Linked DNA regions of Tribolium castaneum. The protein of the gene in region 3 purifies or fractionates together with the protein of the main gene of each other region. This does not show direct contact. Links are inferred from orthologs where the notes say so. Each region holds a gene or a part of one and is shown on either strand. Other genes may lie near its edges. The genes, in order: Snap29, Vamp7 and Syx17.

Evidence for each region.
Region 1: the proteins of Syx17 (region 3) and Snap29 purify together in Drosophila melanogaster (affinity purification with western blotting; 4 studies listed by BioGRID, with this or other methods). This does not show direct contact. The link is inferred for Tribolium castaneum from reciprocal best matches to the Drosophila melanogaster genes Syx17 and Snap29.
Region 2: the proteins of Syx17 (region 3) and Vamp7 purify together in Drosophila melanogaster (affinity purification with western blotting; 4 studies listed by BioGRID, with this or other methods). This does not show direct contact. The link is inferred for Tribolium castaneum from reciprocal best matches to the Drosophila melanogaster genes Syx17 and Vamp7.

What each region holds. Positions count from the first base shown.
Region 1 is NC_087401.1:16,863,118-16,872,961, reverse strand, and holds Snap29 (synaptosomal-associated protein 29), read right to left. Parts: upstream 4,981-9,844; 5' UTR 4,887-4,980; coding exon 4,140-4,886; 3' UTR 3,968-4,139; downstream 1-3,967. Other genes in the region: uncharacterized protein LOC135266932, read right to left, coding at 1,642-2,895; larval cuticle protein A2B, read right to left, coding at 5,053-5,583, 6,083-6,094; uncharacterized protein LOC100142142, read right to left, coding at 9,133-9,844.
Region 2 is NC_087402.1:8,577,505-8,587,542, reverse strand, and holds Vamp7 (vesicle-associated membrane protein 7), read right to left. Parts: upstream 4,801-10,038; 5' UTR 4,609-4,800; intron 4,557-4,608; coding exon 4,353-4,556; intron 4,301-4,352; coding exon 4,072-4,300; intron 4,017-4,071; coding exon 3,949-4,016; intron 3,901-3,948; coding exon 3,736-3,900; 3' UTR 3,723-3,735; downstream 1-3,722. Other genes in the region: proton channel OtopLc, read right to left, coding at 383-588; uncharacterized protein LOC103312779, read left to right, coding at 5,075-7,789; cyclin-dependent kinases regulatory subunit, read right to left, coding at 7,921-8,166; ATPase ASNA1 homolog, read left to right, coding at 8,483-8,592, 8,642-9,524; Arp10 (actin-related protein 10), read right to left, coding at 9,620-10,038.
Region 3 is NC_087394.1:25,879,496-25,890,200, forward strand, and holds Syx17 (syntaxin-17), read right to left. Parts: upstream 6,623-10,705; 5' UTR 6,517-6,622; coding exon 6,385-6,516; intron 6,301-6,384; coding exon 6,105-6,300; intron 6,049-6,104; coding exon 5,721-6,048; intron 5,255-5,720; coding exon 5,023-5,254; 3' UTR 4,827-5,022; downstream 1-4,826. Other genes in the region: mRpS2 (small ribosomal subunit protein uS2m), read left to right, coding at 1-165; dehydrogenase/reductase SDR family member 7, read right to left, coding at 356-373, 807-876, 927-1,093, 2,301-2,420, 2,468-2,970, 3,032-3,194.

The DNA.
Region 1 (9,844 bases), on a different chromosome or scaffold from region 3:
TGGTGAGATCAACTACCGCCTTGAGCATTTTAGATAAGTCAACTAACTGATCTAACCTTTTGCACGCCTGTGAGAGCTGCGCGAGGGTCTCGGCCGTTGTCATCGTTCCTTGGGGTTTGGGGGGCTCCTGTTGTTGCTGGGGGTAGCGCTGGCTCAGCGCTGGCCAGTGTGATGCAGCCGTGGGGGGCACAGGCTGCGGTTGCATCGTGGGGACCCTGAAAAATTCTTAAAACGCCCCTGATCCACCATCTTCAGTTTGCTTAATAAAAAAAATAACTGATAATAAACTTCCATAAGCCACACAGTGGTTCTCAATAGATGGGTTAATAAAAATTTCTAAAGAAAGTACGCACTTTTTCGGAAAATGATATAAAGGTATTTAACTCGTCTGATCTGACGAGAAACCGACATTCAAAGTAGTTAAGACAATGAAAGAATTAAAAGCTAAAAAAAATGAACAATGTAGAGAACTGGAAACAAAGAACCTGGAACAATGAGAAACTAAAAAATTAGATAACTGAAAATATTGAGAAACCAAGAAATTAAAAAACTAAAAGACATTCAACTACAAAACTGAAACAAAAAAAAGTAAAGAAATAAAAAAATTGTAAATTTTAGTTTCAAAAAAATTGAAAAACTGTCGATTATTTCACAATAATTTCTGTAAATTTTTTGCAGAAATGTGGGTTGGCTACATTGGCTTGGCCATAACCCAGTCCACCTCCCTGGTGGGCTTAATCCAATACGGTACCAAAACCTGGAGCGAACTCGACTCCCAGATGACTTCAGTTGAACGTGTGGTCGAATACGCGGAACTGGAGCCCGAAAAAGACGATGGTACCACGGTACCATCGGACTTGTGGCCCAACAATGGTCGCATCCTCTTCGACGACGTGACCATGAAGTACCCTCTAAGCAACACAACGGTACTCAAAAGCGTCACATTCAACATCAACCCAGGCGAGAAAATCGGAATTGTTGGCCGGACAGGCGCTGGCAAAAGTAGTTTAATTTCGGTACTTTTCCGCCTGTTTCACTTCGATGGTACTGTTTTGATCGACGGTGCTGACACTAAAACGCTCCCATTGTCGATTTTGCGCTCAAAAATCGCGATAATTCCACAAGATCCGGTGCTTTTTTTGGGCTCTTTGCGCCAAAATCTGGACCCGTTTGAGCAATTCAGCGACAGTCAGTTGTGGTCGTCACTTGAAGAGGTTGAACTTAAGGAAATGGTGACGAATTGGGCGCAAGGTCTTGAAACTACGATTTTGGAGGGCGGGGCTAATGTTAGTGTGGGCCAGAGGCAACTTTTGTGCCTAGTCCGGGCCATTTTGCGCAACTCAAAAATCATAGTTTTGGACGAAGCGACCGCAAATGTTGACTTGAAAACCGACGAAGTTATCCAGAAAGTTGTAAGGAGGAAGTTTCGGAATTGTACGGTTCTGACCATCGCCCATCGGTTGAACACCATCATGGACTCGGACAAGATCCTGGTGATGGATGCTGGGACGGTGGCCGAGTTTGGCCCACCTGCCCAACTTTTGAAGAACGAAAATGGGTTGTTTTATGGGTTTGTTCAAACGAGTGGGAAAAAATAATTATTTATTAAAAAAAAATTATACAGTCGAGAGTATTATTTTTTCAAGTCCTGAATTGTGCCAGAACGATGACGAAAGCCACTATAGTTTCCAAAACGTCCAAAATTGTTGATTTGTCCAAAACAAAAAAATTTGCAGCTGTGATTTTAATCTCGGTTTTTCGGATCAAACTGACGATTTCTGGCGATTTTCCAAAACTCGGATCCATTTCGTACGTGAGTTTGATGATTTTTTTGCGCTCTTCTAACATGTTGTCGACCTTCTGCACAAATTCAGCCGTATGAATGGCTTCAGACGGCAGAATATGTGCAAAAGAGACGAAGGTTTCGATAGCAGCAGCCACAGAGCTGCTAAGCTGTGCAGCGGCTACCTTCACCTTCATTTTCATGTAAGAGTCTTTGAAATTAAAATACTCCTTCTTTAATTTGGGCAACGATTTAAAAGTTTTTTGTTGAATTTTGCATTTCAATAATGCATTTCGCGTGTTTTTTAAAAGATGCGACACGTCGAAAATTGTAACAATCGGCTGATTATTAATGAAGAAATAATATGAACCTTGCCTGGGATGTTGTTTGGCATAAAGCTGATTCAACGCGGAAACATTTGTAGTGCCCTGATCACAAACAGTAGCGACTACCGTTAAACCGATGTTCTGAAGTTGTGAAATTATTTCTTCAATAAGAAACTTTAGATTGTTCGCGCTAACTGTATTTGCCGTAAAGTAATAAGCAATTACTTGTTTCCACTGGAGTCTCAACCTTCGGATCATAAAAACAAGAGCATGGTTGACTGCTTTGTTAGTGCGACCCAAGGAGCCCATGTCCTCGTAACCACTGTTTAGCTCGTTCATAATGAAATCCTTGACAAACCGACATCTCATCAAACAATAACGATCTGCATGTTTCATTTTTGAGACGTGATTTTTCAGGTGTTCCAAAATACCTGGATTAATACCAGTATCGAACTGAATCTTAGCTAAAATGGCTTTCAGTGTGCGGGAAGAGGGTAATTGAAAATGGACTTGCAAATACTTATACAATCTCGGACTTCTCTTGTACAAAGATAAAGCAAAAGCTTTATCCTCGTCTGTCCATCTGCGCGCGGTCGGTTGACAGGAAACATTTCGCAATTGTGAATTAATGAAAGCCTTAGTGACTTCATTCAAATTTTCGGTGATGAACTCGAATTTTCCGGCATCGTACAATTTTTGCAAAGTCTTCACCTTACCCTTTTCCTTTTCTAATGTTTTGCTCAATCTACACAACCTCGACTGAATGTTTCGGTGAGCTTTGTACATCAGCTCTTTTCGCGGTGTCAAATCTTTGGAAGAACAGCCAATTTTAGTTAGAATACCGTCTCTACCTTGATTATCCAGAAACGCGAATTTGTTTACATTAAATGAGGTTTCATTATGATTCTCTAAACAGCTGCTGTTCGAAATGGTGGAATCTGAATTGTTTATTACTTCACTACTTTGCGAATGAGAGGAACTGCATAATTCATTATATGCCAAATTTACAAAAGATGACGTTGAAGGTGATTCAACAGACAAAGAACCAACAACATTTACATTTTCCTCAGACAAAGCAGATGAAGAAGGATCTTCAAATATTTTGCTTTGTTGATCTGGATGTGGCAGATCCTCAAGTAAATGAATGTCAGATGGTTCAGTGGGAACGAGTGTACTGCTCTGAAATTTAGACGATCTTTCCTCTCATTCACAAAAGCAGATTCGTCAAAATGATCCTCACAAATTCTAAAAAAATCTGAATTTTTGGAACTTATCTTGCAAATGTTCCTCCATTGTTGATGCTGCGTAGGGTCTTTTGGAAACACAAAAAAGTGCTTGTTCACAAAGCCCTCTGGAGTGTTGATGTATAGTACCAGTTGTTGCAGCCTGGATACTTGCAGCAGTACTTCTTTCGAGGAACAACATAACTTTGTTAATTTAATTTAAGTCCTGCTCGTCACTTCACCCCATGAGAACGTTATTCGTCTCTAAAAATACATCAAAACTGAATTAATACAGTTACAAATCAGTTTTATTTTTACTTACATCCCCTGGAACTCCTTTTCTGACCCTTATTCACGAAAAAACAACAGTGAGAAACAATTGAAACACAATTGCTCTTGCGCAAACGAATCTTATTGGCTGTTTGGGAAAAGAAGCTTGGAGCACGCGCTATACACCCGCTGTTTGACCCCTCTTTCCCCGACCCTAGGAGGTGGCCCACATACTTTCGTGTTTCCACTTATGCAACCCCAGTTTCATACCCGTGGCTGTCAGCAGAGAATAGGCTGTCAGTGTGGTGTGACAATGTCGGTAAAACAGAACACTGTGGGAAGGGGGGGCGTTTAAATCAGTTCAGTTCATTATTAAAGAATTTATTCACATAATAATGCAATCATAACAACAATCGATAGATCCATTTACGCTCCAAATATACAAATAATTACTAATCAACTAAACAGAGAGTATTACAATCAATTACAAGACAGAAAAGTGCAACATTTTGATTTCCGCTTTAAAAACTAAAAACACTAGGATTTTTTCAATATTCTCATCATATCTTTGTTCTGCTTGGTGATGGTCATATCAGCCGTCTCCGCCTTATCAGTAATGGTGCTAATCAAGTCATTTTGCGAGTCAATCTCGAACGACAAATCCGTGGCTAAATTTTTCAAGCGTGATATATTTGAACACATTTCTTGCAAATTGGCGTCCAGTTTCGCACTAAAATCCTTACTCCCTGACGTTTGCCCCGCATTATTATAATCCAAGTTTTTCAACCTGGTTGAGGGATGATTCTCGAAGCGGTCATAAGTCGACAACTTTTGCTCGAACTCTTTGTGCAAATCTTCAGACTCTGATTTAGTTGTCTTTGACGGGGGGCTCGGACTTGCGTCGTTTTTCCCCGCCATGTAGTTCTTCAAACTGTTGAAAACCGACTTGATCCCGTTGATATGCTTCTGGGAGAATCTCAAAGTCGCGTTGATTTCATCCAATTGCTTATCAGTTTTCTCCAACTTCTCTCTTTGCCTCATCAATTCTTCGGCTGTGGCGATGCCAATTTGTTCGGAATCGCGCAAAATACTCAAACTTTTCTCCGTGCTGTTGATGGTGCGGTCTTCGATGGCCCGTTTGCGCTCCTGGAAGGACTGCAACTGGTCGTCGAAAGACGCCTGGGGGCCCCCTTGCGACCGACGCGAGTTGCGCAAAAACAGCTCATCGTCGACGTCGTCGTCGTTCTCGAACGGGTTAGTGGACCTGGCGTAGGGATTCGACATTTGGGGGGCGGAATATCACAATAAATAAAAACACAAAAGTTGCAATTTTGACATTTGTTATTGACACTGACGTGGGGATTTTCTTGCTTGAGTTAGTAACATCACAGTTAGTGTAGGCAACCAACAATACACCTTGCTCAAAAAACTTTATTCGCAATTAAACAATTCAATAAATGGGCTTTTCGGTGCCCCCTTGCGCCTCCTGCGCCGCCGCCAGCCTGGCATGCTCCTCTGCGATTTTCTGGAACAGCTTGAAATGCTTGTCCTTGGCGCGGCTCACCGCCACCGAGTCGACTGGCACCACGACCGTCCCGGGGGCGGCATGCCTGGCGTTGGCGATGTTTGCGAACTGCACGAGATGGCGGTGCTTGGCCGCCGCCACCACCGGCGTGTCGGATGGGAGCGGCTCTGGCGCGAAATTCAAAACCGGGTGAAAGCCGTTCTTATCGGCCGTGTACTCAACAGTGCGGATCTTAAACCGGGGATCCACATACGAGTACGAGCCTTGGACCACCCCCGAACCGTCGGAAACCTCCGAATGCGTCCGGTCGATGTGGCCGGGGAAACGACCGGCGGCGTAACCAAAAGCGTACGGCTTTGGGGGCGGCGGCGGTGTTGACGGCTCGGTTTGCTGGACGTGCACCAAGTGGGCGACGTCGCACGCCGCCCCCGAGGTCAGCGCCAACAGGGCCAAAAACTGGGGATTTTAACAATCAAATTGTGGGGTTGGCAGGACTTTTAATTAAAATATCAAGCCCGGTTTAGGGGAGTCGTAACAATAAAACGGTTTATTTTTCGTGAGGTTTACGATTAGTGGCAATTGTTTACGTCTCAGCCAACTGGGCTAATAATTATTAATCCGGTAATTCCCCCGAATGGATTCACATGACTGTTGGTAGTAAACATACGCGACATTTCTAATCGAGGCGGCCTCGGTCATTAATCCAAACTTTATGACGTCGTCATTGTAAATTTCTAAGTTGGCAGCGTTGAAACGTGATAACTAACAGTGTCACCAATCGTAAATCACTAAATCACGCAACTCAATTTCCCCAAATTTAGAATGCGCCTAAACTTTGGGAAATATTTACGCCAATAACTTTTGATTAATCGTCTTGGGAATGAATAGAGAATGAAAGTGGGACAAGGCGATTGCCGGAGGCTTGAGATTTCACAAAAATTCGGCAAAAACTCACCGTTCTATTCATTGTATTGCGTTTTTTTTGTCAAACACACCGATGCACTTCTTGTCGTTGTGGCAAAATGACTAAAATCAGATTTGCGTTTTGAGTGAAAGTTGGTAAATTGCGTCACTCACACAATCTCGTGACTGAGAAACAACACACGGACACACAAACGTGTTTGTGATTTCTTTTTCATTTTGCGATGAATTTATTCTTAAACGGAGAAAAGTCAAGGCCGTGAAGATGATACTGGAATGATCTCATGCCTGACTTAATTTGCGTTGGTACGACTGGTCTTGAATTGGCCACGCCCATCAATATATTTCTATTTACCCAAAATAAATTTGAAACTAGTAAATAATTACATGTTATCCTCCCTCATTATTATAATTTATAAACTGCAAATAATTAATGTCTGCTGCAGAGTTCCGTTCGAGCGCTAATTCGTTAATATCAGATAAAATAATCAACAAACACATTGTTTATTTAACATTTGGACGAGCTTTGCCGATTGGAATTAATTACAACAAAAAACAATACACAATAAAAACAGCAATCGGTAGTACATTGTGGATTAAATCGGGTTATTCAAATAATGTTTGCAATTGTCAATATTACCAGAAACATTTTACTGAAAGTAATACAATTGGCGCACTCGCTACGTTCGTTATTGGTTATGCAACCAACAATACTATAGGGCCAATAAATCACCCTCCGGATCTTTTCTTCGCTTCCCTTGGAACAAAAAAGGTTATCCTCCGGCCATAAATTCATTTAGTCGGGTAATAATAGCAATAATCAGGCATTCCCGTAATCGGATCGCTTTTCGGGTCAAAGACGTACAACTCGTACATAAATTCCGCAGATTTGGGTAAACCCCCGAGGTCGTCAATTATTAATGAAAGTGGCAGAAAATCAAATTTTTTAAATTTCCCGGCCCGAAGTGGGCGTGGTTACGCAATCACAGAATTTCATTTCAATTTTTCTTCGTTTTCTTTGGGAAAACCACCTCTAGACATGAGGAAAAAAACAAATTGCACCCTTTTTAAGGCGAAGCCGTGACACATCCATTAATTCTCCGTCCAGATCCTCGCATTTATCAAACTTAGAGCCACGACACAACGATGGCGCTTTATGATTTTCGAAACGTATTCGTCCATTTGTTTCGGAACGTGACCGATAACGAAATGGAACGGATTAACCTATGCTTTAAATCGATGATCTTTATCGCGACTTGCAAATTTCGCCGACTTTAACGGCGACGACGTGTGATATTATGGCCGGAATAAATTTTCCAAAACGTTGCCTACTTGGGATACGAATCTATTCGCCCAACTGGTTGCCTATACGCTGAAATATCGACGTATTCAGCTGTAATTACGTGGAATAATAGCAATCGTTTCATTGTTTGCTTTTCTTATTCAAAGCCTCCGACATTGTCTGTTTTGTAAAACACACACAACAACGATTTTAACTGTTCATGTCAGTGTAATTACGTTTAATTATTTCAGCTATTAATGTAAAGCAACCCACAATGCACCTTTGTATAATTAGTTACATAAACTGGCAGGATTAAGTGAAAGGGATTGGATTAATTGAATCCAAGCTTAGACATAGTTTATATTTTACAATAATATAATACAATAGAAGTCGATTCGTATAAATAAAGCGATGACTTTACGAAATGTATTTTTCATCAGTTTTGTACATTTGGAAAATCACCAGATTCACTTATATCTTGTAGTTTATTTGTTTAAAATAACATTTGTGTGACACCAAAAATCAAAAAATGTTATTCTCTCTATACTAATACAAGTAGAGGCGTTATAGAAATACTGGCAAAAAACGTCAGAATTACTGGTATAAGTACGTCACTTAGGAACATTATAAAGTAAAGAGTGGCAAGTAACGAGGAATGTATAAAAATCAAGTCTTTTGTGAGAAAGGAAACCTAATAATAAATACTGTGAACGTAAAAAAATAATACTGAACATAATGTACAAAAATAATAATTCTTCTTCCTTAACTCTTACTACGTTATTAAAAAACCCAGCAGTTAAAAATGGCAAGGCTAAATATTGGCTTAGATACATATATACAAACAAAACACATCTACATATTTGTGACACGTCGCCGGAAAAGACGCCCTCTGGCGAGCGATTTTTCCGCCGCCTATTTTGGTCATTAGGACGGTAATTTCTCGTGTATTTAGCCCGAACGATAATAAATAACATGAATTCAGTCCGTTCATCTAAACTAACTAAAAATATACAGGGGACGAAACAATTCGGAGAAGAGTTTTGAGAAAATCGGGTCATAGTAGCTGCCGTTCTTTTTGTTTGTTGTCAACACGAACACCCTGTATCTTATCAAAAATTATATAAAAAATTAAAATTATATATAGTCACTTAACATTATAAATATGTACACTTTTGCAAATTCATTTTTATACACTGCTACTTTATCATCGTAAAGTATTATAATCGTACATACACTATAATCTAACAATTAGTGGATTTTTACTTTATTAGGTTTGTCCTCGTGAGGGACCGCGTTCACACGTGTGACTGTCATGGCTAAGTTTTTTAAAACGTCAAAAGCGAAAGTGGGTTTTGATTAGGCCGAACCGTCTATCGGGGGCGGCGGGGGTAGTGAGCTCTAATTAACGGAATTATTGCTAAAATCACACGAAACGGGGCTATCTAGTACCCTGCGCTTCCAAACGTCACGAAATGAGTATTATCAATAAATAACTAGGTATAGTTAGGTCGTTGTTTAATGTCTTTCAAGTGTTTCACTCCAAATTTCTTCAATAAAATTAAGTAGACATGCCATCATGAGTGTGTTTAACCATAATTGCAGCTTAAAACTCGTTTTCTCTCAAAGATTTGGTTAGTTGGTCGTGGCCCCACGTTGGGCGCCACAGCCCAATTTAACCCGGCATCCATTTTTTGCACTGACAACTCCAAAAATCATCAAAATGTATCGAAATTTGTACTTTTTTTCTAATTGCAATTCGCCCCCTCGGCTCACTACCCTTTAGTCCGACTCAGCCCCGAATTTCACGCATCACTAAAATGCCCCTGACTCGGTTTCTCCTCCTGCATGTGCCTAAATCTGACGAAACCTTGTTCGTCCACCAGCATGGAATCCTGGTGGTTCGGCAAGGTTTGCACCCCGAGATGGGGTCGAGCATGGTTTTTACGCGTCCGACCAGTCGATCTCCTCCCGGACGTATTCGACGAATTCCGACTCCTTCTATCGAAATCCCCGCGTTCGAAATCATGCCGCGTCCTTTCGTACTGGTGATTATCCACCGGTTCGCTATAGATATTACGTTCTTGCGCCCCGCCTTCATCGTCATACTTCGGCTTCGTGTAGTACTTTGCCGAATTCAACCGCGCCGAACTTCGGCCGAAGTTCGCCTCGTGGTTATTCGGACGCGAATCGAACCGATCGGACCAATTCGGGCGTTCGAAACGGTCGAAATTGCTAGTGCGTTCCGAATCGGAATGGTAACGTTCTAGGGTTGATTTCTTATCGAAGGAGTCGTTTTGAAAGGCGGTTTTTAACAAATTGGGACGTTCGACTGGTTCGGTTGGTATGTTGTCCATAATCATCTCGTTCCGGCTGTAGTTAAGCGCGTTGGGGTTGGTATTACAATTGTTAGGGTATATGTTATCAGTGCTTGAGTCGCTGGTCGTGCACGGGAAGAGGGGGAATCCCCCGGTTTGCTTCTCGCGTTGCGACATTTTCAAGCTCACCACGATTGCC
Region 2 (10,038 bases), on a different chromosome or scaffold from region 3:
TTGCTTATTTAGTTTTTGTGTGAAAGCTTTTTTGAAATATACACGCACGACAAGTGGCATGTTTCCCTTCTCACACCCACTATTTTTGTTGTGAATAGATTTTCCACTGCGGAAGCATGTAAATAGCACAAATAGAACGCACAGAGTCGTATAATTTAAAACTTTGTCATATTTTAATGATAATCTCTAGAGCACTATACTGGAACTGACATGAAACATGTCCGGGTCATGTCCCGTTACGATTTTTCTCTTTCACATTCTCGTTTAATAATTGATTGGAGTGATATTCCTAATACGGTAAAGGATGGACATTCAATCCGTTATGAGCCGTATTTGGGCTTCTTCAGGCAAGTTGGGTAAACTGATACAATAAATCACGTACCTTTCGCCTTCAGTTTTCCCGTACCCTAAAGCAGTGGGGGTTGCTGTGGTGTCCGCAGTCGTGTCCCCGAGGTCAGCAGCGGAAGTAGTTGCCATTTCTTCGATATCCGAATCGATTCCTTTATCAAAATCCATGTAAAACGAATCTCTCGAATCGCTAGATCCTCGCCTCAGCTTGAGACTCAAATCAGGCGAGCTATCATCCATTGTGAATCGATTTTTTCACCGCACACACTTAAGACATTCTAAATTATTTCAGCATTGTCTTTGGCCACGTGACGTAGTACCAAATGGTACTACTTCAGCAGGAACCCGCTACTGATTAATAATCACATCACGGAATTTTTTCGAGCTACGAATTATTTTGTTGAATTTTTGTAGCAAGGGTTGTTACTGCAACGCTAGCGGCTACATCACACAATTTCTGAACGTGTTGAGCACTCGTTTTACTCAGAATCGCGTAATTTTACATTTTAACGCTTCCAACACCGTCCACACTCAACTGATGCTCGGGTCTCTTTTATGTTGGAGCGGTAGCTGCTGCGGAGTCAACGACATAGCTATACATCCTACATAGAGTAGGGGGTGTGTACCTCTAGAGGGTAGACGTTGTGGGGTGAAAGCGTTGGGAGAGGATGCAGAGGGTTGAAGCATCGATTTTACTCGCAATTTCAGTGGATTCACCTTTTACTCAAACCGTGACACCGCGCTTGTTTGTAGTACAAGTTCATTCATGGGATTGGTATTGCGACATGGGCAGGACCATCATGGGCATGGGGAAAAATAAAAAACAGCTTTTTTCCAAATATGATCATTTGTTGTTCTTTTGGTATTTTTTCATTGCGTTTTGATCACAAATATAGTACCTTCCTATCTTTTATTAGAGGCGCAAATAGAACAAATCGACAATATTTTTGCCAGTTTAAAATAACAAACATTTGCGATGTGGAAAATGTAAGGTCAAATAAAACTAAAAAATATTTTTTTTTTGATAACAAAATAAGTACGAGTAGGTACTTATTCATTTTTGTTCATTTTATGGACGCTTATGAAAAAATTAAAATCGATAGTATTCGTCCAATAATTCCAAAACTACGAATGAGAGAACAAAAATGAGGACAGATCTGAAATCCTCAGGCAATTCTACGTTATATGGGATACTTTGGACATAAATTTGCGGTTATTGTGATCTTGACGATTTTTTTTGGTGGATACGCGGTAGAGAAACCTTTTTGTCCAAGTTGTTTTATTCAGATTATTTGCACAATTTTGACTCGAGTGATACAAAATTTTGCTCAGAAGTTGATAATTAACTAGGTCGTAAAAAAGACTAAAAGTCGTTTTACAAGTAGATTTCTTTTTTTCTCGTTGACTAGAAAAATTAAATTATGAAAAAAAATTTGGTTAAATATTGTAATATTGATGATTTTTTTTTGGTGGATAAATAAATAAAAATTTTGACAATGTTGTTTAAGTCGGATTATTTACACTGTTACTGCAAAGTTTTCCTCAAAAATGAAGGGCAAATCCCGGGAGAAAGTCTAGGGGTCCAGGACCCTCACAAACTTCAATTTTAATTTTTTTATAAATAAAAAAAGCCTAATGGTAAGGATAAATGTTTTTTTTAATAATAGCATTTATCAATAAATTGTTAATATATAAATTACTACTCATATACTTATAACTGATATATACAGACTGATCCAGAAATACTGAGTCTGTTGGCAACACTGGACTTAAATTTTTAAGGATACTAATGGAATACGCTTCCAGTTAACAACAATTTAACATTCTTGTGGGGTTGTACGTCAAATAATTGTCAAGAAAAATCGAATTCGGTTGCAATGTTATAAGTTACAAGCACAAATACTTTCAAATGTGTTGCCAACAGACTCAGTATTTCTGGATCAGTCTGTACTATGAAATACGTAGGAAGATTCCTGAAATTAATGTAAAACAAAGAAATTATATTTTATGTTTAAAATTTTTTTTACGTCCAGATTTTTTTATTACTTAAACTTATTTAAACAAGTGTAGATAAACATTCTCTGTTGTATTATATGTTAAAGTTTTTTTTATATTTTGAAAAAAAGTTTGTTTTTGTGAAAGAGATCCAATTCTTCCAAAAACTACAAGTAAAAAACATTATGATTAATAACCATGTACAGGGTGAGTCGATAATGGGTTATTTCTGAATTTTTGTTAATATGCAAATAATAATTCTAATTCCAGCAAACCAGACCAGTAATCATTAAAAAATTTCAAAATAATCCACGGTTACATTGTTCTGGGTATTGTCAATTTTGTTTTAATAGTTTTGCTAAAATTCCATTATGGACTATTATTATTTAAAAGATAAAAAACCACTGTTACTTCAATTCAAATGTAGAGTGTTTTATTTAAAAAAAAATATATATTTTTTTTATTTTAGCAATAAAAAAAATTGAGGCCTAATTTATTTTTAAATATTTTAACATACCGACAGAAAAAGTTTCATTCAATAGCTTAACCTCCCCAAATTACCCCCAAATCAATTTCTGTATGCCCCTGTCGGAAATAGGTAGGTAATTATAATTAATCATAATTAACAAATAAAAAGGACCTCACAATGTTTCTCTAATATTATATAGCTCATTTTATTATGTGAGAAACCTTTTTTTTGCATTTCCTTTCTTAAAGATTACTTTTACGTTTTTTAAATGTTATATCTCTTTTATAGCTTTTGTATTTCAATCTTTGAAAGCAGTAATTCTTATCACATGCCAATTTACGAGTATGGTCCGTTTCAGATCTTATTAGCAACAGCTGTCAGTTTTAAAAAATAATTTTCTCTTTGAATTATTGTTTTTTTTGGCTTTAAATTTGTCGTTGGGATTTTCTTTAACACAGAATCCTTTTCTTTTTTTGCAGAATCTCTAAATTTTTTTTTTAGTAAGACCTAATATGAGACATATCTACAAAAAGAATGCTCGAGTTGGCAAATCTAAATCTTTTTTTTAAGTGGTTCGACTAATGATAGCTTCTCCGTATCCAGTTGCTGAATAAGAAAATTCTTTAAATTTGTTACCAACTAAAACAATTATTCTTGATTTTTTTGTGTTTAATTCTTGAATTTTTTGAGACTTTTTAATACGTGATTAGATAAAAGACTAGAGGGAAAATAAAACAAGAGTATATTTTGTCTGCTTTATTCAAGTAACGATACCTTAACAATTACAAAATTATAAATTAACGAAGATAAACTACATAATTATAAAAGAATGTTTTTATCACTAATTTTGCGGAATCTTATTTACATAAAGATAAAACGGTACAGTGTTTAAGTAATGAATAAAGTAAAATATCTTAAAATTTTTATTTCTTAGCAATACAGCCCTGCCAGAGAAGCCCTCCGCAAGCCATGCAAACAATAAAATAAACAATCACAGTAATAATCACACCAATGATAACATAAAGCTTAACGTTTTTCCAAAACATGGAACGTGCCAGATTGCGACTTGTCTTCCTGAACGTCACAGACTGAAAAAAAGTTTCAGAAAAAAAAACAACTTTTTATTAAATACTCACCCCACTATTCAAATTTTCAGCTTTATTTACTAACAGTTCCAGCCTTTCTCCCCTCATCGCCACATTATCTTATCAATGAACGCAGTAATAAATATCACATACAAAATATTTATTCACACTCACCTATATTCTTGACCATAATATTTTTAAGTTCATCCAACTCTCCATGAACTCTTGAAATTGTATCCACATCATGGGATTCGGAATAATGTTTCATTTCGTTGGCTAGAACCCTGGAAAATTCAGAATTCATCGCATATGCAATCGCAGTCTGGATAGAGTCCCCATATTGGGACCTGAAACGCCTTTTAATTTCATTGAGAAATAAAAACGCCCGTGACCTCTCAAACTCCTGAAACAATGATGACAATACAACCAAGTATTTACGCGACATTCCACGTTACATCGTCAGTAATACACATGTAAATAACTTGGTTTTCACAAACATAGTGGAACAAATAGTTCCCGTGCGAGTACGTCAACTTATCATCATGTGGTGGTATTTTTCCGATGATCTGTTCAGTAACTTCAGCGAAATTCCCGGCGCAAGAGGCATATCGAACTAGAACGGTGCTTCCCCGAGATATTACACTATAAAGAATTGGCATCTATAATGAATAAACAATGTTAATTGATCCTAAACAGTTGGGACGTAATTACGTTTTATTTTTTCCGATTTACGTTGACACCTTCACATAAACGCCAAAAATGCCACACACGTAACAATGATAAAAACGCGCACAACGAACACAAATATCTTTGAATTAATTGGTATTATTATAAAAAATTGAGAACAATAACAAAAACGTCATGTGTCACACTGACGTTTGGTTTCAAAGTGCGCATGCGTCAGCGATGACTCAGTCGATGTTCTAAATACCACACCAGTGGCGTCCGTGCATTTTCAAAATTTCTCCAAAAAAATAATTTCATAGTAAAATTCGGCCACGATACCGAAAGTAACACCTTGGTTTAGTTTGAGTGAGATTTATTTGAATCAAATAAAACGTGTTACAAGCGTTGTTAGATGTTGTGGTTTTTGAAAATCGAGTGGCGCGTTGTCAAAGAATTCAAAAAATGTGGCCGAGCAAATAATTCCAATCATTTCAATTTCATGGCGCAAATTATGGAATTCCTGTTAAATTTATTGTTACTGCGTGGGAAGGTTTTAACCACAGCAGCGGCCGAGACACTCCACGAATATATCAAAAAATGTATGCACTTCAAGCGAAAAATTTCGACCGAATACAGCAACGCGACCCAAATAATCCCGTTTGAAAACATGTTGGAGTTTATCAACAACTCGAGCAAATACACCTGTGAGGGAGACGTTGTGACGAACGATCTCCGCTACTTGTACGAACACATAAACCGGGTAAAGCAAGAAAATGAGAAACATACACATACTGTTGCTTTGGTGCCGCAAACCGTTGATAAAAAATTGGAAGAGTTGCCGAAAAACCAAAATTTGAACACAGTCCCTGAATGGTTGCGCCGTGAACACACCAAAATTAACGAGTTTAAAGTGAAAAGTCAGGAACACATCATTGACAACTTGCACGCAATCCTCAAATCGCAAGAGTTTCTCTTCAAGAATATCATCAAACTGGTGAACATCCTCGAGAAGGATGCCCTCATCAACTCAAACAGCGAAAAACTGGACAAAATCAAGAGGAAACTTGTCGCATGCACTGATATTTTGTCAAACGCAGCCACTTCGCAACAATTCACAAGCCTCATCAATAAAATAATCGAAGAAGAGATCACGCGTTGTAGATTCAGGCACGGCGAAAGCAAAACCAGCGCTGAAATTAACTTAAAAGTGCCGAAACCTGAGGGAATCGAAGCTGCTTTGGACATGTCGCACAAGAACAACGACATCAGAAGAATGAAGAAACAACTAGCTGAGAAAATTGCAAAACCAAGCGTACAAAATAAACAGAATGAGCGTTTAAGGGGCCGTATTATTGACCTGGAAGTGAAAACAAACTCCGCCAAGTTACTAAAACGGGCGAGATCCGAGCCAGTTTTGAACGAAAACCGAAAATTGGAAACCATCTGGAAGAAAACACAGATTGAGATTGAAGAATCCAAAAAAGTGATACAAGTCAATGAAGACCGTTTCAAGAAATTTGAAAACACACTTTGGCACACCTTAACAACCATGAAATTTTTGTCGCTGAAAAGTGATTACGCAAATATGACTAAGTGTGCGTTCTATAATAAGAGACAGTTTGTGGCGACGGAAGCAACAATTTCGAAAAAAGTCCAAGGAGAGGAAAAGTTCGGCAAGTTTGTTAAGATAAGTAACTCCATGTTCCACATTACGGAAAAACGTCTGTCGTTTGAGGAGGGACAATTAGATGGTGTTGGGGACAGTGGAGGAGCAAATAATAAAAAGACAGAAGTGTCTAAAGACAAGATTTTTCCAAAAAAATCTGTTAGTAATGCTCCACCCGTGCTTATACAAAACCAGAAAAAAGACGAACAGGGCAATAATACCATTATTAATGGCAATGACATCAAAAAATTGGTTCAGAACCATTCCGCAAATGCCACTGTTGCGGTAGTTGTTGAAGGAGGTGACAAAAGTGTGATCAAGTCTCGAGAAATAGTACCAACGGAACGAGACAACAAACAAACTAACACAATTATTAGTGTTCATAATTTTATTAAGAAAACAGCCGACGTTTCTAAAAATGTTTCACCTTTAGATGCGATTAAGAAAGATGATCAGAAAACTATTCTGCAGAAAGAAGGAAAAAGTGACGCTTTAAATCCCATTATAACAGAAGATGAGAGAAAAACTACTCCACAGAAAAATCCACAAAAAACTGAGGAGCATCAAATTGTTAATGAACCAAAAATTGCTGTACCCGAAAAAATAGAAAGAATGAATCAACAAACAACAGATCAGCGTTTCGTACAGTCGTTAAGAAATTCGGACTTGAATAAGAAGCCTTGCAAAACAACTAGAAATGTTAAAATGAGGTTGAATGTCATCCTAAAAACGAAGGATTCTTTGGGATCAAAGCGCACTACAGCTCCACCTCCGTTAATTAAGAGTTCTAAAAAAGAATCGTTAGTTAACAATGTTGGAGCAAACACAAAACTCCAAACTATTGCCAGCGATAATTTAAAATTGTGCACTTTGAACGCAGTTTGTCCTAAAAAAGCTAAAAACGGAAGCAAAAAAGTGTCCATGCACGAATTTAAAAGCGAGGCTGATCTCATCCGTATGAACAATAAAGCATTTCAGGAACTAGAAACTACAATTAAAACGGTTCAGATTGTTAAACCAAATGGAAAAACACAAAATGTTAAGAAGCAGGAGAAAAAAAGTGTGTCTAGTGAAAATTTGGCTTCGATTATGAAACAGCGGAATGATATTAAACGCGAAATGAAATCCGAGGCGTCTTCGCGAGCTGGAGGTGATGAGAAAATAAGCCGCAAAAATAAGCGTGATTTGCATACAGAAGTCAAGCAACTGCCTAAAGAAAAATGTAAAACGTTTTTGAAAACTTCGAGGATAAAATCGTTCGTGAAACCAAACCCCAGTAATCAACAAATGCGCCGTACGACGAAAAATGCGATGAAGAGGCAGCAAGTTTTGACAATTTTACCCAAAGTTGCGAAAGAAATTAAAGAGAAAAAAAAGCCGCAAGTTCGTTTGGTTGAACCCGGGGAAATAAAAACCGTGAAAATGAAAGACAGTTATTGCGTGTCCAAAAAGTCAAGTTACGTGAAATTTTCTAAAAAAATTTTGCCCAACAAAAAAATTAATCAGACGAGTTGGGAAGAAGAGGATGGTTACAAGGTTGCCTCAGTGGTGGAAGACTAATCTGTTTAAGTCTTGTCTTGTGTAAAAACGTGCAAGTGAAATAAATTGGGTTTTGATAAAACATATTATTTATTTTTTACATAATAAAAAACTTAAACCTATTTCACACTTAACAAATTTGCACAAAGTCCTTACAAGCCATTTGAGTTACTTTGCGACAGCGGTCGCCTAAACAGTAAAATGTGTGGCTCAGGAGTGTGCAACATGTAATGTACCCAATTGGGGCTTTGTTGTACCCCCAAATTGCGCCATTCTGTTTCGGTCATTAGGTGGGCCCGGGGCACGAGTTTGGCCAAATCGGCGGGTAAAATAACGTGCCGGTACTCGTAGTGCTCGTCGGAGTACTTCTCCGAGTACAAAATGTTATTTACCGGCATTTTTACGCTACAAAATGATTTGTTTTGATTGACATAACCTCAAAACCGGCATTGAAAACGTACCAGTGCTGTAAAATGCTAAAATAATGTGCTGCTACTCGAAGCAAGCAGTTAATGCACTTTTTTAAATTCGTTAAACTCGTCACTGGTGGTTCAAAATTATTGTTAAATGATAATTTAACGTTATTGTTTGAATTACGCGAAATGAACGAACGCCACTGGAATACAGAGTGGCCACCTCAACCACGTAGATAAAAAGAAAAAAACTAGAGTCGAGGTGTCAAGTTTGAGGTTAACTCAAAAAACAGAATCAACAATGTCAGATTTTGAGCCCCTGGAGCCCTCGTTAAAGAATGTGATCGACCAGACGACCCTAAAATGGATTTTCGTCGGTGGCAAAGGCGGTGTGGGCAAAACCACTTGTAGGCAAGTTCTGTCACGTCACGGCGAGTTCAATATGTAACCCCCTTTCCAGTTGTAGCTTAGCAGTCCAACTGTCGAAAGTCCGCGAGTCTGTACTAATCATATCAACCGACCCGGCCCACAATATATCGGACGCCTTTGACCAAAAGTTCACAAAAGTGCCAACTCTTGTAAAAGGCTTTAACAATTTGTACGCCATGGAAATAGACCCGAACGTGGGTTTTAACGAGCTCCCGGACGAGTACTTCGACGGGGAGCCTGAAGCAATGAGGATGAGCAAGGGCATCATCCAGGAAATAATAGGCGCCTTCCCGGGCATAGACGAGGCCATGAGCTACGCAGAAGTTATGAAGTTAATCAAAAGTATGAATTTCTCGACCGTGGTGTTCGATACGGCCCCCACAGGGCACACCTTACGGCTCCTGTCGTTCCCTCAAGTTGTTGAGAAAGGTTTAGGGAAGTTGCTACGATTAAAATTGAAGATTTCGCCACTTGTGTCACAAATTAGCGGCCTTTTGGGCATTCAGGACTTTAACGCTGACACTCTCTCCTCGAAAATGGAGGAAATGCTGTCGGTCATTAAACAAGTTAATGAGCAGTTCAAAAATCCTGACCAGACCACGTTTGTCTGCGTGTGCATCGCAGAATTTCTGTCGCTTTATGAAACCGAACGACTGGTCCAGGAACTAACCAAATGCAAAATCGACACTCACAACATTATCGTCAATCAATTGCTATTTAAAAAACCCGACGAAAATCCGTGCAAAATGTGTCTAGCAAGGTTCAAAATCCAGGAGAAATATCTCGATCAGATTAATGACTTGTATGAGGACTTCCACGTCACTAAATTACCCTTACTGGAGAAGGAAGTCAGGGGCGGGGACAACGTTAAGGCTTTTTCCGAGTATTTAATACACCCATACACCCTTAATTAACTTATGTAACTTATGTTTTTGTGTTGAAATGCTTTATTATGGTTTTTTAGGTGATTAATAAAAAAACAAAATACAAACAATTTATTACAAAAAAATTAAAGAGTCCTATTATCCCTCATATTGGGCCAATCGGGTAAGCGATTCTCCAAGAAATACTTCTCCCGTGTTAAGGCCTTCATGCCTAAGACTTCCGTTGCCCCATAAATGCCCCCACCCAACCACGCGGCATAATTTTCCTTACAGGGTGGACTATGAAACTTGAACGTCTTAATTCTCAATTTCTTGTACCTCTCATATTTCAGTTGTTTGTGTAACTCGTCTTTCAGTCTTGCTTTAAATCCGGGGGCCATGACACTACCCCCAATTAAGAGAATGTTTTCAGCGAGTTGGTTCCTCAAATGCATATCAACTTTTAGTATAGCATCAAGGATCATGGTAGAGAGGCTCAAATGGTCGTTATCTTCATCGTACAAAATTTCGTAAACCTTTTCGCGCACTTTTCCCGAGATTGTTA
Region 3 (10,705 bases):
ATTGCCACCATTGGGATTGTTGACTCGAACTGTGATCCCAATTTGTTGACGTATCCGGTGCCCGGAAATGACGATTCCCCTGCTAGTATTGAGCTGTATTGCAAGTTGTTCAAGGCGGCTATTTTGAGGGGCAAGGAGAGGAGGAAAAAAGACATGCAACTGTAATTGGCGTTTATTGTACAAATGTAGGTAAATAAATCACGTTTCTTAACACCTAACGAGTTTGAGGAGTATTTACGTTAAATATAATACAAGAACCAAGTAATACCGCCACCAGTTATTCAATTTTTTGCCATTTGTTAGTCGCAGAAATAGGAAAAAATGTTAGCAAAAGAATGTGCAGTCCACCACCACTTCATAGTTTTCGCTTACCCTGGAAAAAAATTGGTTGAAAAAATTGTAACAACATACAGGGTGAGTCACGAATCATGCGACCGGACTTTGTGATTGGTTATTGCTATGGAAGTACAGACCGCGCAGTTTTAAATTCAGTGACTCACCCACCCTGTATGATAATATTATAAAATTCAAGTTGATTTTCAAGCAAATAAAACTTACCTAATGAAGATGATAAAAATGTACATAAAACGTAAATAAAAATAAATACATTAAACACAATTTCAGTCTTAATAATAATGGAAAAACCTGATTGCGTGTTATTATAACAATAAATTAACAACGAAATAAGTAATTAAGCAATCAGACACATTTTTGCATGTTACACTCTATTAAGCACAATAATACTTAAACAAACAATAAAAACAACAATGCAAGGCCATGTGGCGCCCTTAGACGATATTTTCTACCTGATCAAACTGAATATCTTTGCTGTCTCTCATTTTGAATAGTCGGCGGGGCCCCAATAGACCCAAAGCCCTGAAAGCACACAAATCAATCGAATGCCAAATAATAATTTTTTTGTGTACATTTTTGAAATTGTTGGGAAGTATACAGCAGTGTAGACGAAAGGCATCATGGGAAAGAGCCCCATCCAGGATTCTTGCGTCCTATTGGCCAACGCAATGGCACACAATTGCCCACACCTCTCCCCTGTCATTCTCCTGTCTTTCCTATCGGCCGGAATCCCGTATTTCTGCTCAAAAAATGAAATAAATTACAATTAGAGGGGCCCACATAATTCATTGCACAGTTCATTGTTAATTAATTTGTCTAAAATTAAAATATGCAAATGTTAATGGATGGTTAATGGATATTTACAAAAAAAAAAGAAATTGTAACTATGCAGATTGTCGTTGTGAGGGACCCTGTAACTATTTATTTATGTGACTTTATAATAAGGGGCTGGTAACATCGGTTATGACGATGTCAACAGAATATTTTCCAAATTTTCGGTTAACATTGAAAAATAATAAATTAAAATAATTTTCATTACATTGATTCAAAGTAAAGAACATCAATTGCTGCTAACTCTGAATTGTTAATTCTATACAAAATCATGTCCAAATTCAACAAATACCTACACATTTTTCACGAAGTCACGGCTTATGTAAAAAGAGATAAAAAACCTTTCATACATTCATACTTTCATATTAAATTATTAACCATACGTTAAAAAGTAAATTTAAAATTCAGAGAATAATAGAATAATAAACGGCAAGAGTGGAATTTAAAATGGCAAATGGAAAAAATGTTTGAAAAATAATTTTTGAATACAGTTTACGAAGTAATAATGCTATAGGAGAATCTAAAGAAGAGTACAGAAACATAATCTAAAAAATTCTAAATGGAACTATCGAAGGTTTTTGAAAAGATGACAAAGTAATCTGTAAGAGAAAGAATTTAAAGATGAGTTTCTAAAATAATACAAAAGGCTCCAGATTTCAGAGCTAGAAACAGCTTCAAGTGAAGAATTTAAAAAAAAAATAGCGATAAGCACAGAATCAATGCTAGAAAATAATCTGGATACATTTTAAACGAAGGTAGCTAAGAATTTTGAAAAAATTAAGATAGAATCCAAGAGGGAATGTAGAAGCTGTTTAAAATACAGTGGAACTCAGTTATAATGAACCCGGATATAACGAATAAAATTGAATGTCTCCTTTTAAAGTCCTATATTATAGTAACAAGTTGGTTCGGTTTTAACGTACAAATGAACCTCGCTTTCCGAAGTCCTTTGGGTGTTCGTTGTAACCGAGTTCCATTATAATAAGAACGGCACTATGGAACGAAGTGAGCCTATCAAATTAATGACGTTTTTGTTGAAATAAAAACAAGCAGGAAATCACCATAAATTGGTGTTATTTCACTCGTTTTTGAATACAATTCTAAAAAATTTATACCTGACCGTCTCGTTCTGTGAAGCTCTCCTGTAAAAAATTAGTCAGAGTGGGCCCAGGACATAGGAGCGTCACTGCGATATTTTTGTCCATTTTCTCAATCCTGAGGGCATCAAAGTATCCCTACAAAACCACAGTCAGGCACAAAATACACGAAACTGTAATTTTACATGAATTGCGTGTTTGGTGGCCGTGTAAGTGGCCGAATAGGGGGCTCCGAAAACCCCCGCAAGACTCGAGACCACAGCGACATGACCAGAGCCCTTCTCGTTGAAATGGTTGATTGCAATTCTGGTCAAATTGACGACTGCGAACACGTTCAAGTCGAACATTTGCTTGTCGACGGACATGTCAATGTACTCGAAGAGGGCCCTCTGCGAGCGCCCCGCGTTGTTCACCAGGACATGCACGGTGCCGAAGTGGTTCAAGGCCTGCTGGAAGACCCGCTTGTGGGCGGACAAGTCGGTGATGTCGAAGGGGATCACCAGGATGTCTTTATCAGAGAGTTGGTTTTTGGATAGGTGGAGGCATTCAATTTTAACGCGTTCTAATTCGCTTTGGCGTCGAGCGGTGAGCACTAGGCGGACGCCGTGTTTGGCTAGGGCTTTGGCCGTGTGTTCGCCAATGCCGCTGGAGGCGCCTGTGATGAAGACCACTTTGCCCTTCAGTTTTCCTGAAAAATGTTCATGAAAATTGTCACTGGTCTCAGTTTAGTTAATAAATAATTCACATACGTGGGGACTTCCCAAATATCGAGTAGAAAGCTAGCTCTAGGTCACAATCGACGAAACACAGAGCCATTAAATAGAATAAACCGTAGGTTAAAACACCGGCACCTATCGTTTCTAGAACGGCCATTCCGTATTTTTCGAAATACTTTTGCACTGTTGAAGACATAACCACAATTTGTTTTTGGTTAAAAAAATCACTTATCGGTGTTATCACACGATTATTGTTTGTTTGTTGTGGCTGGAACGCGACTGAGGCAATAAAAGTAAAAGTGGGAGAGCCGGGGGGCGATATAACGGGGTCAAGGTGACTTTTACACTGATAGAAATGGAGAAAATAAGCTATAAAAAATGGAGGGGCAAAGGTTGGAAATAACAGGTGTTTTATGGTAATTTATTTGAAACACATTCTTTTACTGGCCGTGTAAACAATAAATACACTATTTTTTTAATAAATGACATGAGGAAATGGCAAATTGGAGAGAAATGTGTTTTTTAAGTAGCTTGAACAAGCCAAAAAATCGTCACCCCCAATTTTTAGTGAGCGATTCAGGTCGTTTTTCGGCAAGAAATTCATTTTGTTTAGACGTTTTTGCCGAAACTGGCCAAAATTTGTCGCCATTTTAGAAAATTTTAGCTCGTTCTGGAGCCAAAAGTCGATTTAAATCCTAAAATTGAGTTAAAAAAATCGTCGGATGACTATAATTTTGAGTGTTGGGGCCGGAAATTGACAAAATGAAACAAATTTAGCCAAACCAGTTTCTGAAATCGTTTTAGATCTAAATTACAATATTTCAAAATTATTAACCTCAAAAGCTGTCAAATTTCAAATCACCCGCCTTCGGCTTAAACCAATAGGGTTTTTTTACCTTGATGTCACGCATTTGCGTGTGGTGCGCTTGTCGGTGCGCGTCCTTTTGGTTTCTCGTGTTTGTGGGTGATAAAAACGGTGTTTTTGCGTGTTTTGTGCCAAAATGACTGAAATTCTGAATAGACCTACAGTGAATGCCCCTCCAGAAATGCGGGAACGGGTAAGTAATGAAAGTGTAGGCAGTTGTCTTTAAGAAAACTCGAAGCAGTGTCATGCTTGTTAGAGGCAACTTATTTTACGTGTTTTATGTTTTAACGGGAAACTGAAAGTTTCGTTCGTTCTATACCAGTAGGTTCTTTTCAAAATTCCTGCAATGAAAATATACATTAAGCAAGATAATCGCTTTGAAAGAAAAAGTCGTAACGTCACAACAGCCCCTCATCAAGTCATCATAGAATCCTCTTATCACTGAACCCTCTAAGGACCGGTTTAGAGAAGCGTCATTAATTTAATTCGCAATTAAATGGGTGACCAAACTGAACAAATGTTATTGGTCCATTCATTTGCGTTGTTAACTTTTAACAAAGCTTTCTATAAACCGGCCCTAAATCACCAAAAGACTGACAGATAATTGAACATTTTACACACATCTTCCACAAAATTTAAAATTAACTACTTTTTCGCTTAATTTCTGTTCCAAATTCTCTCTTGAACTTCGCGAAAACTTATGGAAATTTTAATAAACTCTTTCAGTGTCACTTAAAATGCTAAAAGTAAAAAACCATTTGATCGTAATATTGGACCAAATGCTCGAAAGACAGTTATAAAGTCATAAATTCAAATTTAAATGAAAAAACTTGAGTTAGAGAGCAGATACAAAGAAACTGTTTTTATTACTGTAATACTAATAAGAGTAATAAGTGTTTCAGCATTATTATTGAAGACAAAGTTGTTTTAACTGAACAAAAATCTTTGATGAAACAACACGAGTTCTAGAATTCAATTTATTGAACTATTTACACTTACAAATAGGTAATACCTAAAAAATTATCACACAAAAATTTCACGATATTTGACATTTATTTCTAAGAAAAGATGATAAACATGATTCGATTTTTTACCATAGTTAGTTTCCTATCTTTGTCAGACGTCTTTTATTTAAAATAAATTAACAAAGAACACACTGTCATATATCCTTTTTCTCGTGTTTGTCATCCATTTGCACGCTCTCTTCCTTTTTCTCCTCAATTTCTTCCACTTCGTGATTTTTTTTGAAAAATTTCCCCCCTGTATACCCGGCTATCGCACACCCTAAAGCCGTCAAACCCCCGATTTTAAACCCTGCCACTAAACCAACAGGGCCCCCTATCATTGACCCCAGGAAGGCACCAGTGACTGGATAAACGGCAGTTTTCAATCTGTAAAAATAACTCCAGGCTTGAATTGATTTTAATTAACAGCGCTTCATTGATGGATGGAACTACGGGTTGTAAATTATTGTTTTTGTATAATTTTTAACGCATAGTAAACAAAAAATACAGGCAGATAAAACAGTAAATTCTCATAAACACAATGCAAAAATTTTATCGTAAACTAAAAAAATTTTTTAGAAGCAAAACGCTGCGAATACACTTACAGATGTAAGAAAAATGTTAGGAAGAAAATTTTAGAATTTCATGAGTTCAGAAAATCCTGCGATTTCATATCTCATTTCGTCTCACAAGTTATAGAGCACATCATTATTTTTAATTAATTATACTTTAAAAATACATAATTGATAATGAGATAACAAGCTTTGACGTCAAAGTGACATTAAATACGTCAAACTGACGTTAGTAACACTTGCCCATCCATCAAGAAGGCTGTAAACGGGCCAAAACAAACTTGTGGGCTTTGACGAGTTGTTTAAACCCCGACTGCACGTTTTCTTTACTCTCTTCAATCGTTTCCTCAACATGCTCGACCTGCTCCCTTTGCCCTTCAACCATTTGGTTCAAATGGGTGAAAATTTGGTTCAAGTCTTCAGTGTCTCTTTGAACCGTTTCCACCTCGTTTAGGAGTTCTTGTCGTTGTCTCAGTTTGATGTCCTCTAGGTTGTCTTGGAGTTGGATTTGCGACGCCCCCTCAAAGGGGCACCGCTCACGCAGGAGTCTCTTCTCGTCTTCATCGTCCTGGTTTTGGTTGTCTAATGCTAAACTTCGTTTCTCTAAATCTAAACCAATAAACTGACTTATTTTACAAAATAGTGGTGTCTGAAAATAACTCAACCTGTGTAACCCGAAATGAGGGTGATGATAATTTTCCTAAATGATAGCGTTTTGGTGTCGAATTTATCTAAATCGGAGTCTTCGACTTGTGCCCTTAAAGTATCCAGTTCGTACATCAAGTCTTTCAATTGTTTTACGATTCGTTTTTTGTTTTTCACCTCTTGGCGGACGCGTTGGCCATTGTTTTGCGAGATCAACTGTAATCACATTTTTTTCACAACTTTGTTATCTCTGATTTGGTGCCAAAAATAAACCTAACTGCGATTTTGGCAAAATGTTACCTTGAGGACTAGCGTTTTGTGCTGCTCGAAAATATTCTGGTGGTGAGGGATCACTTCTTCACTGAATTTATTTAAAGGCACTTCGATCAGTTTCAGGGGTTGTTTCGTAACACTTGTGTTTAAAATCGACATTGTTACCACATTACTGTGTTTATTTGTAAATAATGGAGTTGTAGCACAAAGAATTTTGACGTTTCTAACCAAAAAACTTGCTTGTTGACATTTGGGCCGGCAAAGTCGGCACCTGTCAAGCTTGACTGTGTTTCGATCAGATGTCGCTACGTGTTACGTTGCGCGCCCGCCGCCTTCAATGCAGTTTGCTAGGGGAAGGTGGGGCAAATTTTTTTGTTCGTTAAACTTTGCGTTGGTTTTATTGTTAATTTCCGTCTAGTTTTTAATTCAATTCAATGGAATTAATAACATCTTGCGTATGAGGCGATTCTAATCAGTAATCATCTGTTCGTATAATTGATTATCACTACTCTCTAATTATATCAAGTCGATTACATCTACACATTTCCAGCGGCAAGGATAATATCAGCTTCTGGGATCGGTAATAGTGAAAAACGAATTTAATTTAACACTTAGAGATTTCGGATTTTCTTGGTATTTTATGCGAAATGCTTCGTTCAGGTTTATTAAACTCGGCCAATTAAGCGGGAATTTATTTTTCAAATAATTACAAATAAAAAGATTGAGTCGTTAAGTGAATTTGTATCAATTTAAACATTATCATTCCCATGATTCTTCGTAGTAAAACTGACTTGTATAATAGCAGAACAGAAATAGTCGCGATAATGGCTAATTTATCGGAAAAATAAGCGAGTGACGATGCCGCTCCACTACAATTCTGTCGGAACACCCAGGTTTGCCGACTCATTAACAGATAGAGAGGAATTTATTCGAAATTATTCATCAACGCAAACATCAAGTGACCTGCGATTTGAAATTACGAGGCAACATTGAAAATGTGATCGACATTTTTTTTTATAAATTATACCCAAATACCCAAATTAATTTTATTTCATAATAATGGATAATAATAATAAAAACATTTTTTGCAACCTCATCAGGTTTTGTAGAAGGCAACATAAGTAAATTAATTTTATTATTAAAAATTTCATCATAATCAAGTGATTCTTTTAGGGTCTACGTTAGAACAATTTCTAATACAGCTTGTTAAAAGTTTGTAAACAATCCAAATCAATAAAATTGTGAGTTTAATTCAACTAAATTATTCTCAAAATGGCTGAGCTTTCGGAACTATGAGAAATTCGCGCCAACTTTGATATTTTAAATTGTAAACACACATTTTTATTAAATTTTTGTATTCATTTTTTCAAATTGAGTAAAATTTATCGAAGTTATTGGTATATATGTATACTTATCTGTCATAGTTTTTGACATATATTTCGTTTCTTAAAATTTTTATTTTCAGAGGTTTATTTAAAATATCACAGCTCTTGATTCTTTCGCGATAAGTGAATATTTTTTTGCATTCGATAACCGAATGTTTGAAGAGCCTGCTTGATTTTTCAAAATTGTTAACTGTCAAAGTTTAACGCTAGTATGATTTTTCCAAAATGGTTATTAAAAAAAGGGGTACAACTCAGTTTTTTTTAATGATACGACCCTATTTTACATAATAATCTGTCAGTTAACATTTTTTTTTATTCATTGTAATAAAAAACTTCGCTTCCATACAGTGAAATTTGATATATTTTTTTATTATAATATTAAATAATTTTTTTCAGAGACCTGGCGTGATGGCCAATTTTTGTGTACATTTTTAGAATCTGCATAAAAAAGTTCAAAAGACTATTACTATTAGCTGATGAGACTAGATCTCTCATTGAAACTACATTAGCTATTATTTTTTTGAAGTGCATGAATAATTTATAACGGCTAATTTAGAGTGAAAATGCAACGTTGGCGTTTTATAGTTTTGAATAGTATTAAAAAAAGTCATGTTGACCAGTGTATAGTCAGTGTTGCCAAATTAACAATAGTTGTTGTTAATCTTTTAATCTAAATAAATACAGTGGTTGTGGTCAAGCGGCCGCCATTAATTTTTAATCTTATTATCTGTTCTCGTACAAAGAAGACCTCCGTGAATAAGTTGAGTTTTTTAATGATGGTATAAATGTTGCATGAATGTCCCCATATGTTGGTTTCTTGTCATTTAAGAATTTATGAGGCATTTGTTGAATTAAATGCATAAATAAATACATCTGTGGGAGGTAAAGCGGCCATTGTTTTTCGTAAAATTTTCAATAAATCCCTCGGTATCTCGATGCGAATCGATATCAGCCCACGAAGCCTGCGATTTATTTTAATTACATGGGTATTTACAAGTGACAAACAGTCTCTGGTAATGATGTGTGGTAACTGGATTTACACACAAACTTTAAATTACTGCGACGAAATTCAATTACTGCGATGTAAATTGGTGGTTCGGATCGGTTTTCTCGATAAAAATAAGTGGACATTGTTGGTGATCCATTTAAACAAATCTTCTAAGTAAATATCGGCGGTAGCTCGAGCGAGGGCGTTCGAGCGTATTAAAATGTAAATAAGTTATTGATGATAATATGTATTTTGATAAAAATACTTAAGGTGCGTGGGATCGAGGCGTGGGAATGTAAACATGTCAATTACTTTTTTTACGACTTGATATTATTTGTGGTTTCGGATGGAAAAGAACGAGAAGACAGTTTCAAACTGAAGCACTGAAAGATTCATAAAACGGGTTGTGAGATTTGCATATGTGGCTGGATTGTATGCAAATGGTGCATAAAGAAAGGCGATTATTGGATACTGAGGGCTATAAACGGCTCAATATTACGCAATGCGACACACAATTGCCAATAAACAATATTACACAAACATTAAAATAGCTTCATTATCCAATAAGGATAAAAAAGTTTCAGGCTTTTTTTAATTTGGAAACGAGTGCTAAACCGCACCCTAAATTTTCTACACCAGATTTCCTCAAGATTTCTCCCAATATTCTAAAATGATTTTCAGTGATTACCTAACTTAAGATTTTCTCTGATTTCTTCAATTTTGTAAACCGATTTCCTGTACGCTTTACCTCTTTAATTAGGATATTTTAACTACGATATTTGTATTTTTGAAAAGTATTTTTGTTTCTGATTACGATGTATCACATGATGTGGTCGAATCTTATATGCTGGTTAAAATTAAATAAAAACCGTTTTTTCAAAGAGTGCTTTGGAAAAAACGCCAAAAATTTAGTTTAACAAACAAAATTTTATCAGTTCAATTAAATATATACATACGAGCAGTATTTTTATAACTTTGTCTTGTTTTGTTTTGCGAAGAATAAACTTCTAGCTTATTATGTGATTTAGTTTTTAAGTAAGTAAGGTTTGCGGAAATGCGGAAAAGTTTCCAGATCGAAATTCAGTTAAACTTCCAAAATCTAGTTTGATTGAAAACAAAATTGTTGGCGTTTTTTCCAAAGCACTCTTCGCAAAAGTGCTTTTTTCCATTTTGATCAAATATCATCTGATACATCGTTGTAATCAGGGATAAAAACGCTTTTAAAAAGCACAATAAGCTTATGTGAGGTCTATAAGAAAAACCAAACTTGAGTCTTTAACTTTATATTATCTGTGATTCTCATCATGGTCCGTGGTGGAGTTCAAAAAAGGGACACTCTGTATGTTTCAGAAATTACTTACAAATACAAACTTTTTTTATTTTCCTATGGTTTATTCCATTTTTGGACGTAGCTATCAAAGATTATTAGCTTATCATACGAGAGCACATTGTAAAAAAACATACAGTTAAACTTCATCAATGGATTGCTTGTTGGGGTTGAAAAGTATTAAAATTTTTGTAATTTTATTGAAATAAAGGACGAATAAAGGCTTAAGTGTAACATTACTTTATTATTAGCTAAACAAATAGGGTGTTTTATTTATTTAAGTCATTTATTTATTTAATTTCATTAATTTTGAATTATGAACGTGATACCACGGTGCACTGTGTGAAATTATGTGGACGCATGTTTCGTAATCAGTTTATGGAGTGTTTATTGATGAAAAATTGCTTAAAGATTTTATACTCTATCATTCAAAATTAACATTAATTAGGTGATCATTTGGTCGAAATACCTAAAGAATAATAATTATTAATAAAAATGGAGAAAATCAATTTAAAAATTCATTAACTTTCTGGCTCGACAACGTGCTAAAAAAGCTGAGAAAAAAAATTTTGGTCTAATTTCCTGTCTTTTAACAAAATCTCGTGTAAAAAAGCGGGAAAAAACTGAGCTTTTATGGTAAATAAAGCT